2 linked regions of the Nothobranchius furzeri genome follow. The main gene of each other region encodes a partner of the protein of the gene in region 2 in a complex. Links are inferred from orthologs where the notes say so. Each region holds a gene or a part of one and is shown on either strand. Other genes may lie near its edges.

Evidence for each region. Proteins that work in one complex are often made in the same cells at the same time.
Region 1: ecsit (region 2) and tmem186 share a complex: the UniProt entries of both Homo sapiens proteins name them as parts of the mitochondrial complex. The link is inferred for Nothobranchius furzeri from reciprocal best matches to the Homo sapiens genes ECSIT and TMEM186.

Annotation. Positions count from the first base shown.
Region 1 is NC_091744.1:5,453,200-5,456,477, reverse strand, and holds tmem186 (transmembrane protein 186), read left to right. Parts: upstream 1-1,399; 5' UTR 1,400-1,662; coding exon 1,663-1,665; intron 1,666-1,944; coding exon 1,945-2,610; 3' UTR 2,611-2,756; downstream 2,757-3,278. Other genes in the region: gde1 (glycerophosphodiester phosphodiesterase 1), read right to left, coding at 1-21, 678-947. UniProt on the Homo sapiens protein: As part of the MCIA complex, required for efficient assembly of the mitochondrial complex I.
Region 2 is NC_091743.1:88,487,457-88,491,831, reverse strand, and holds the start of ecsit (evolutionarily conserved signaling intermediate in Toll pathway, mitochondrial), read right to left. Parts: upstream 2,922-4,375; 5' UTR 2,806-2,921; intron 2,660-2,805; 5' UTR 2,634-2,659; coding exon 2,544-2,633; intron 1-2,543.

The DNA of each region.
Region 1 (3,278 bases), on a different chromosome or scaffold from region 2:
AGTTGCACCATTCTTACTGGCCTGCAGGTAAAAGCATTGGAGAACCAAGTCACCGTGAGCCAAAAAAGTAGATGCATTAAAATATCACATTATAAACATTTTGACGTGTGTCGTACACACTTTGGTTTAGTTCATTTGAAAATAAGCACGTTTAGATTTCAATCTCCTTAAATGGTTAGATAGTGCAAATGTAACCTGGGAGAGCTGTATCACACTGTGTGTGTGTGTGTGAGTGTGTGTAAATTGTGTGGGTGCAGCACTGGGCCGATTGGGGGAAGCTCAAGTCATCGTCACTACCTTCATACATGTTGGTTTGGTGAAGACAATTCAACTTCCCCCTGGATTTGAACTGGTCTCCCTGCCCTGTTTTGTAGGCACAACCTGCACAGACCGAGCTTTTATTTGGACTTTTAGCTTTTGCAATCTTTAATAAATTATCTATTTTTGAAGCGATCCGATTCTGTGCTTCATTGCCCACATTAATGCTGGTTGGTCAGACTCACTTCATGTAACATCTTGGGGGCTGATCTGCGGGTGTTACACAAATGTGTATTAAAGTGGAGGTATTACATTTTTAATCAATGACTAACTAAATCTCGCCATTAGAAGAAACAGCCGCTCTAGGTCGTGTGAAGGTTAACGGTTTAACGTCTTCCCTCCCCAGTGTCCCTTCTCACCTCCCGTATGGCTGCTATTGTGTTCTCCGGTGCGTCGTGTCCTCCGCCCCGGTGAGCGATCACAGACACCTTACCGCTGCCCACTGCACGGGAGTCTGGATGCAACACCTGCCGGGCTCGGCTGGTCGTCACCTGCGGGAACCGAAACATGGCTAGAAAGAAGTAGAGGGAAGCGGTGAGGACAGCCGACCACACCGGACTCCGCGTCCCCAGCAGGACCACCACGAGGACAAGTGAGTAGAGGGTGACTTCATCTCCCAGCTGAAGCATTGTAGACGACTTCTTGGGTTCACGAGCGCAGATTTTCTTCAGTTTGACATTTTCTTTCCTGTTAAGCTATTTTTCTTGGTTAAAAACGCGATGTTTCACACACATCCATGCTCCGTGTTATATTCTGACAGCAGCTATTAAGTGGAGCATTAAACCACATCTAAGCCGGAGAAAGCTAGAAACTGCTAGGACGGTTGAGCCGCTGAACGACCAAACGGGAGGACAACATTTCAGGTGGCACGTCGTAACGGCTGTGACCGGATGTTACGTAAAACAGGCGCGACCTTTGTCAAAGTAAACCAATAAAACTAACTCGTTATTTCACGAATCACACATTCAATGACATTTATTCTTCTACACTAAAACAACTGTAAATCCCACTTTGCTGGAGAACATATCTCGGAGGCTTGAAATATATTTCATTAAGTGGGGAAAACATTTTTCGACGGACCGAAACACATCTCGGCGCATCCCCGGATGTGGTTCTAAATAGGTTCGCTACATGCCGTTTGCAGCTCTTATTCAGTGTGAACAATTTCATACATTTTTTAAATTAAAATGTATACTTTACTAATGTTTCTAATGTGAGGAGAGTAAACGAGATCTTTAGGAACACACGGTTGTAACATCCGGGTCACAAAGCTGGACGTCTTCATGCCAAAAGTGGACTTGGGACTATTTTTGACTTTACCTGTGAATTAACCAGTCGTTGGCCATGGTGAGCATCATAGTGAGACTATTAATATTACTGTTATTACAGTGTTATCAAATTCAAAGGAATTGGTGGATCAAATAGATCAAACAATCCTACCCGCGAAATGCCCTTGAGCTTGATTTGATTCAGCTAGGAGATTAATTTGACCTCATTCTGAATAAGGGTTAACAGTTTTAATGTAAAACAGATCGAGACTTTATTCTGCTGTTAATATTTGGCTCAATTAGGTGACTGCATATTGCCTGACTGAATGTCGTATTTAATGTTTTTTTTCCCCCACAGATCAGGTCGATGTTGCTGAGCAGATTAACCCACCACACCCTGTCCTGCACAAGAGGATCATGTTTACTCTCTGGACGAGTGTCTAATGGTTTACAGTCTCATTTTTCAGGTCATACACCCATCCATCAGACCTCCCATGGACCCCTCACTCCTAAAATCACAACCTCCGTCAGATACTCAGACCTATCCACGCAGAAATTCTCTATGATTTACACGCTGCCACACATTAAGCTTCTCAGAGTCGTGTCCAGGCTCAAACTGCTCCAAACTGCAATCACTGCGGTCATCATTCCACCCATGTATTTCCTTTACTTCCAGGGTGACGTGTCCTTCTTTCTAGTATGCTACTCTACGGGGATTGCACTGTTTGCTGGTGTCATGCTGTATACTATGAGTCACTTCTTTAGAAGGGTTGTGGGGATGATGTACCTGGATCCATCCCAGACCACACTCAAAGTTTCTCACCTCACTTTTTGGGGCAAGCGTCAAGACACCTACCTACCCGTGTCAGACGTTTTGACCATCTGGGACACAGGAGACATGGAGAATGAGACCATACTGAAACTGAAGAGATACAGTAGTCCAGAGACAATGTATTTTTCTACTTATTACGGACGCGTTGTTGACAAGCAGGGCTTTGAGAGAGTGTTTGGGAGGCTAAAATAATTCTTCATTCAAAATGTGATCAACTAAATCACTGCTTTCAAGTATTGTAATAAGATCCAACAAATATACAAAAATATCCTGTTTTGAAATAAATGATTCAATTTCAATGTTTTCATTTCTTGATTTAAATAAATGTGACTAATGAGTGTCTGACTCTAGCCTCTTTACCTGGCCAGGTGAGTCGGACAGGTAAATGTTTTGATGTGTTTAATATCTGATGGCTCTGCAGAGTGGATCTATTCCCTTTACTGTTGATCTTATTGGTCCATTAGAGGTCTGAATGTGGTCATAAAACCCCCCTGGAGTTTTAGAGGAATCCTGCAGTTGAGTTTTCTTCCAACCTGATCATCCTGCATGGAAATGTGACTATTGATAAATTTTATTTGGAAAATCTATAATTTTTTGGGTTTCTTAATAGAATTCTATATGTTACAGATAAAAAAACTAATATTGTGAAGCAGACTGATTATGGTCTCGTACACAAGTTATAAAAAATTTAAGTTGACAAATTACAAATATCAGAGACACTGCAGTGAGGCATTTTCAATTAAAACATTTTCAGCTATTTGTAACATACATCTTTAGACAAAAACATCTAATCAGTTCTTCCAATAAACATTCAAATAATTACAAGATAAAATCCATGCATTTGAGTTTCCTGTATAGGA
Region 2 (4,375 bases):
TTAGACTGCTGGAGGACATACTGGGTAACCCTGGCTCATCCCTTTAGTTATGCTGTATGGGTTTAGACTGCTGGAGGACATACTGAGTTACCCTGGCTCATCCCTTTAGTTATGCTGTATGGGTTTAGACTGCTGGAGGACATACTGGGTTACCCTGGCTCATCCCTTTAGTTATGCTGTATGGGTTTAGACTGCTGGAGGACATACTGGGTAACCCTGGCTCATCCCTTTAGCTATGCTGTATGGGTTTAGGCTGCTGGAGGACATACTGAGTTACCCTGGCTCATCCCTTTAGTTATGCTGTATGGGTTTCGACTGCTGGAGGAAGTACTGGGTAACCCTGGCTCATCCCTTTAGTTATGCTGTATGGGTTTAGACTGCTGGAGGACATACTGAGTTACCCTGGCTCATCCCTTTAGTTATGCTGTATGGGTTTAGACTGCTGGAGGACATACTGAGTTACCCTGGCTCATCCCTTTAGTTATGCTGTATGGGTTTAGACTGCTGGAGGACATACTGGGTAACCCTGGCTCATCCCTTTAGCTATGCTGTATGGGTTTAGACTGCTGGAGGACATACTGAGTTACCCTGGCTCATCCCTTTAGTTATGCTGTATGGGTTTAGACTGCTGAAGGACATACTGAGTTACCCTGGCTCATCCCTTTAGTTATGCTGTATGGGTTTAGGCTGCTGGAGGACATACTGGGTAACCCTGGCTCATCCCTTTAGTTATGCTGTATGGGTTTAGACTGCTGGAGGACATACTGGGTAACCCTGGCTCATCCCTTTAGTTATGCTGTATGGGTTTAGACTGCTGGAGGACATACTGAGTTACCCTGGCTCATCCCTTTAGTTATGCTGTATGGGTTTAGGCTGCTGGAGGACATACTGGGTAACCCTGGCTCATCCCTTTAGTTATGCTGTATGGGTTTAGACTGCTGAAGGACATACTGAGTTACCCTGGCTCATCCCTTTAGTTATGCTGTATGGGTTTAGGCTGCTGGAGGACATACTGAGTTACCCTGGCTCATCCCTTTAGTTATGCTGTATGGGTTTAGACTGCTGGAGGACATACTGGGTAACCCTGGCTCATCCCTTTAGCTATGCTGTATGGGTTTAGACTGCTGGAGGACATACTGAGTTACCCTGGCTCATCCCTTTAGTTATGCTGTATGGGTTTAGGCTGCTGGAGGACATACTGAGTTACCCTGGCTCATCCCTTTAGTTATGCTGTATGGGTTTAGACTGCTGGAGGACATACTGGGTAACCCTGGCTCATCCCTTTAGTTATGCTGTATGGGTTTAGACTGCTGGAGGACATACTGGGTAACCCTGGCTCATCCCTTTAGTTATGCTGTATGGGTTTAGACTGCTGGAGGACATACTGGGTAACCCTGGCTCATCCCTTTAGTTATGCTGTATGGGTTTAGACTGCTGGAGGACATACTGGGTAACCCTGGCTCATCCCTTTAGTTATGCTGTATGGGTTTAGACTGCTGGAGGACATACTGAGTTACCCTGGCTCATCCCTTTAGTTATGCTGTATGGGTTTAGACTGCTGGAGGACATACTGAGTTACCCTGGCTCATCCCTTTAGTTATGCTGTATGGCTTTAGACTGCTGGAAATACTGGGTAACCCTGGCTCATCCCTTTAGCTATGCTGTATGGGTTTAGGCTGCTGGAGGACATACTGGGTAACCCTGGCTCATCCCTTTAGCTATGCTGTATGGGTTTAGGCTGCTGGAGGACATACTGGGTAACCCTGGCTCATCCCTTTAGTTATGCTGTATGGGTTTAGGCTGCTGGAGGACATACTGGGTAACCCTGGCTCATCCCTTTAGTTATGCTGTATGGGTTTAGGCTGCTGGAGGACATACTGGGTAACCCTGGCTCATCCCTTTAGTTATGCTGTATGGGTTTAGGCTGCTGGAGGACGTACTGAGTTACCCTGGCTCATCCCTTTAGTTATGCTGTATGGGTTTAGGCTGCTGGAGGATGTACTGGGTAACCCTGGCTCATCCCTTTAGTTATGCTGTATGGGTTTAGGCTGCTGGAGGATGTACTGGGTAACCCTGGCTCATCCCTTTAGCTATGCTGTATGGGTTTAGGCTGCTGGAGGACATACTGAGTTACCCTGGCTCATCCCTTTAGTTATGCTGTATGGGTTTAGATTGCTGGAGGATGTACTGGGTAACCCTGGCTCATCCCTTTAGTTATGCTGTATGGGTTTAGACTGCTGGAGGACATACTGGGTAACCCTGGCTCATCCCTTTAGTTATGCTGTATGGGTTTAGACTGCTGGAGGATGTACTGGGTAACCCTGGCTCATCCCTTTAGTTATGCTGTATGGGTTTAGGCTGCTGGAGGACATACTGGGTAACCCTGGCTCATCCCTTTAGTTATGCTGTATGGGTTTAGACTGCTGGAGGACAACATCTCACTCTGTTGACCTCGCATACTGAGGACACGCTAAAACCCGTAGGGGTTTGTTCCCGGGCCAGGTGTGCTCGTGTTTACGACACTGCCTGGTTAAAAAGCTCACCTGGTGCTGACGGTGGTTCTGGTTGGTCTGACCGGAGGCTGGTCTACCGGACCGGAGCAGCAGCGGCAGGAGGCTGCGGGAACACCTCATCGTTGCGCTTTCCGACTAGCTCACAGCTAACAGGACGAGACAACCAGGTGGGCACTTAGGTTTCAGGTAAAATGACATCATCGTTACATTTATGTATGCTGTAGCAGACAGCTAGTGTCGCGCGCTGCCTGAACCGGATGTTCCTCTAACAACAGCAGGCTGAAAAACTCACTGTGAATTCAGTCTCCTTCAAAACTCGTCTCTGTGCTCGCCTCCATGTTAGAAAGCCGCGAGAACGTCCTGTTTCTACACCGAAATACTTCCCCTTGAACAGCGGGAACATTTACCGAGATAATCGTTCCGCTTGGCTTTTTTTTTTTCTTCTGACTCATTTTCGTCTAAAACTCAAGTATTTAATATGAAAATAAAAATGTGCTGCGGAGGCTAATTCATAACAAAAACTATTAAAACTGTAATCATGAAAGGCTAAAATAAAGACTGGTTTTACAGCATCACAAAAGGAATACGTGTTTTTATCATTTAAAGGAGCGACTGTTAGGAATCAGAACAAGCACACCACACAGACTACAGATTATTCATGAAAAACTGACAAGACAACATCAGTGTAGGGGCGACGGTGGCACAGGAGTTAGGTGCTCACCCGTAACCGGAAGGTTGCAGGTTCAAGCCCCGCTCAGTTTGTTGCTGCTGTTGTGTCCTTGGGCAAGACACTCAACTCACCTGCTGCTGTTGCTGGTGGTGGTCGGAGGGACCGGTGGCGCCTGTGCTCAGCAGCCTCACCTCTGTCAGCGTGCCCCAGGGCAGCTGTAGCTCATCACCACCAGGGTGTGAATGTGTGTGTGTGAATGGGTGAATGACTGATTGTGTTGTAAAGCGCCTTGGGGGGTTCCATCACTGTAGAAGGTGCTATATCAAACACAGGCCGTTTATGATTTAAAGACTATGACCTCTGGTTTCCTCCCACCTACCAAAAACATGCATGTTAGGTCAGAGTTGTTGTTTGTCTGTGTCGTGTGTGTGTCCCTGTGACGGAACAGAGACTTCTAGAATGGAAGATCCATTAACTCAAAGACAACAGCAGTCACAGTCAGTTTTATTGTCAATTCTACCACATGTGCAAGACATACAGAGAAATGAAATTGAGTTTTAGTACACACAATTCAGAGATCAGACATACATGGGCAAGACACATGACAAGAATTAGTGACTGTGGTCATTCGCAACACGAGTCGTGCTACCTTAAAAGATGAAAAGGGAATTACATGAGGATAAATTGGGGGAGGGGAAAAAAGGCACACCAGAGTTACTCCCGGCAGGGCGTAGCTTTACTATGCAAAAAAAAAAAAAACGCCTCAAACATATAAGCACGAACATCACAGTTCACAACATGAGACTCCGATGGGGGGGGGGGGGGGGCTGGGATCCTGTTTCCCCAGGGCGAGCAGCCCTGTGTGGCGCTCAGCCAGCTGTATCCACAGGAGGGAGGGAGATCTTGGAGAAGCGCAGAGCACATTTGAGTTCCTGCAGGTTGATGACCTCACTAGAAGTCCACAATCTGAAGGGGGGGGGGGGGGACGGGTTTTCACAACATCTGTTTGCATTCCTTCCTTCATGGGGGTTGTTGTCAGCAGCTCAAGGCTGCCTTGGCGTCAGATTTGGATAACAAGACTTTGTTTGGGTCAGGCTGAGATAATTTTCCTCTCTGCCTTGAAGTCTGTATTGATCATTCAAGTCCTCCAGTTAAGCCAGTTCAGGTTTTAATCATCCCCACACCGTCCGGT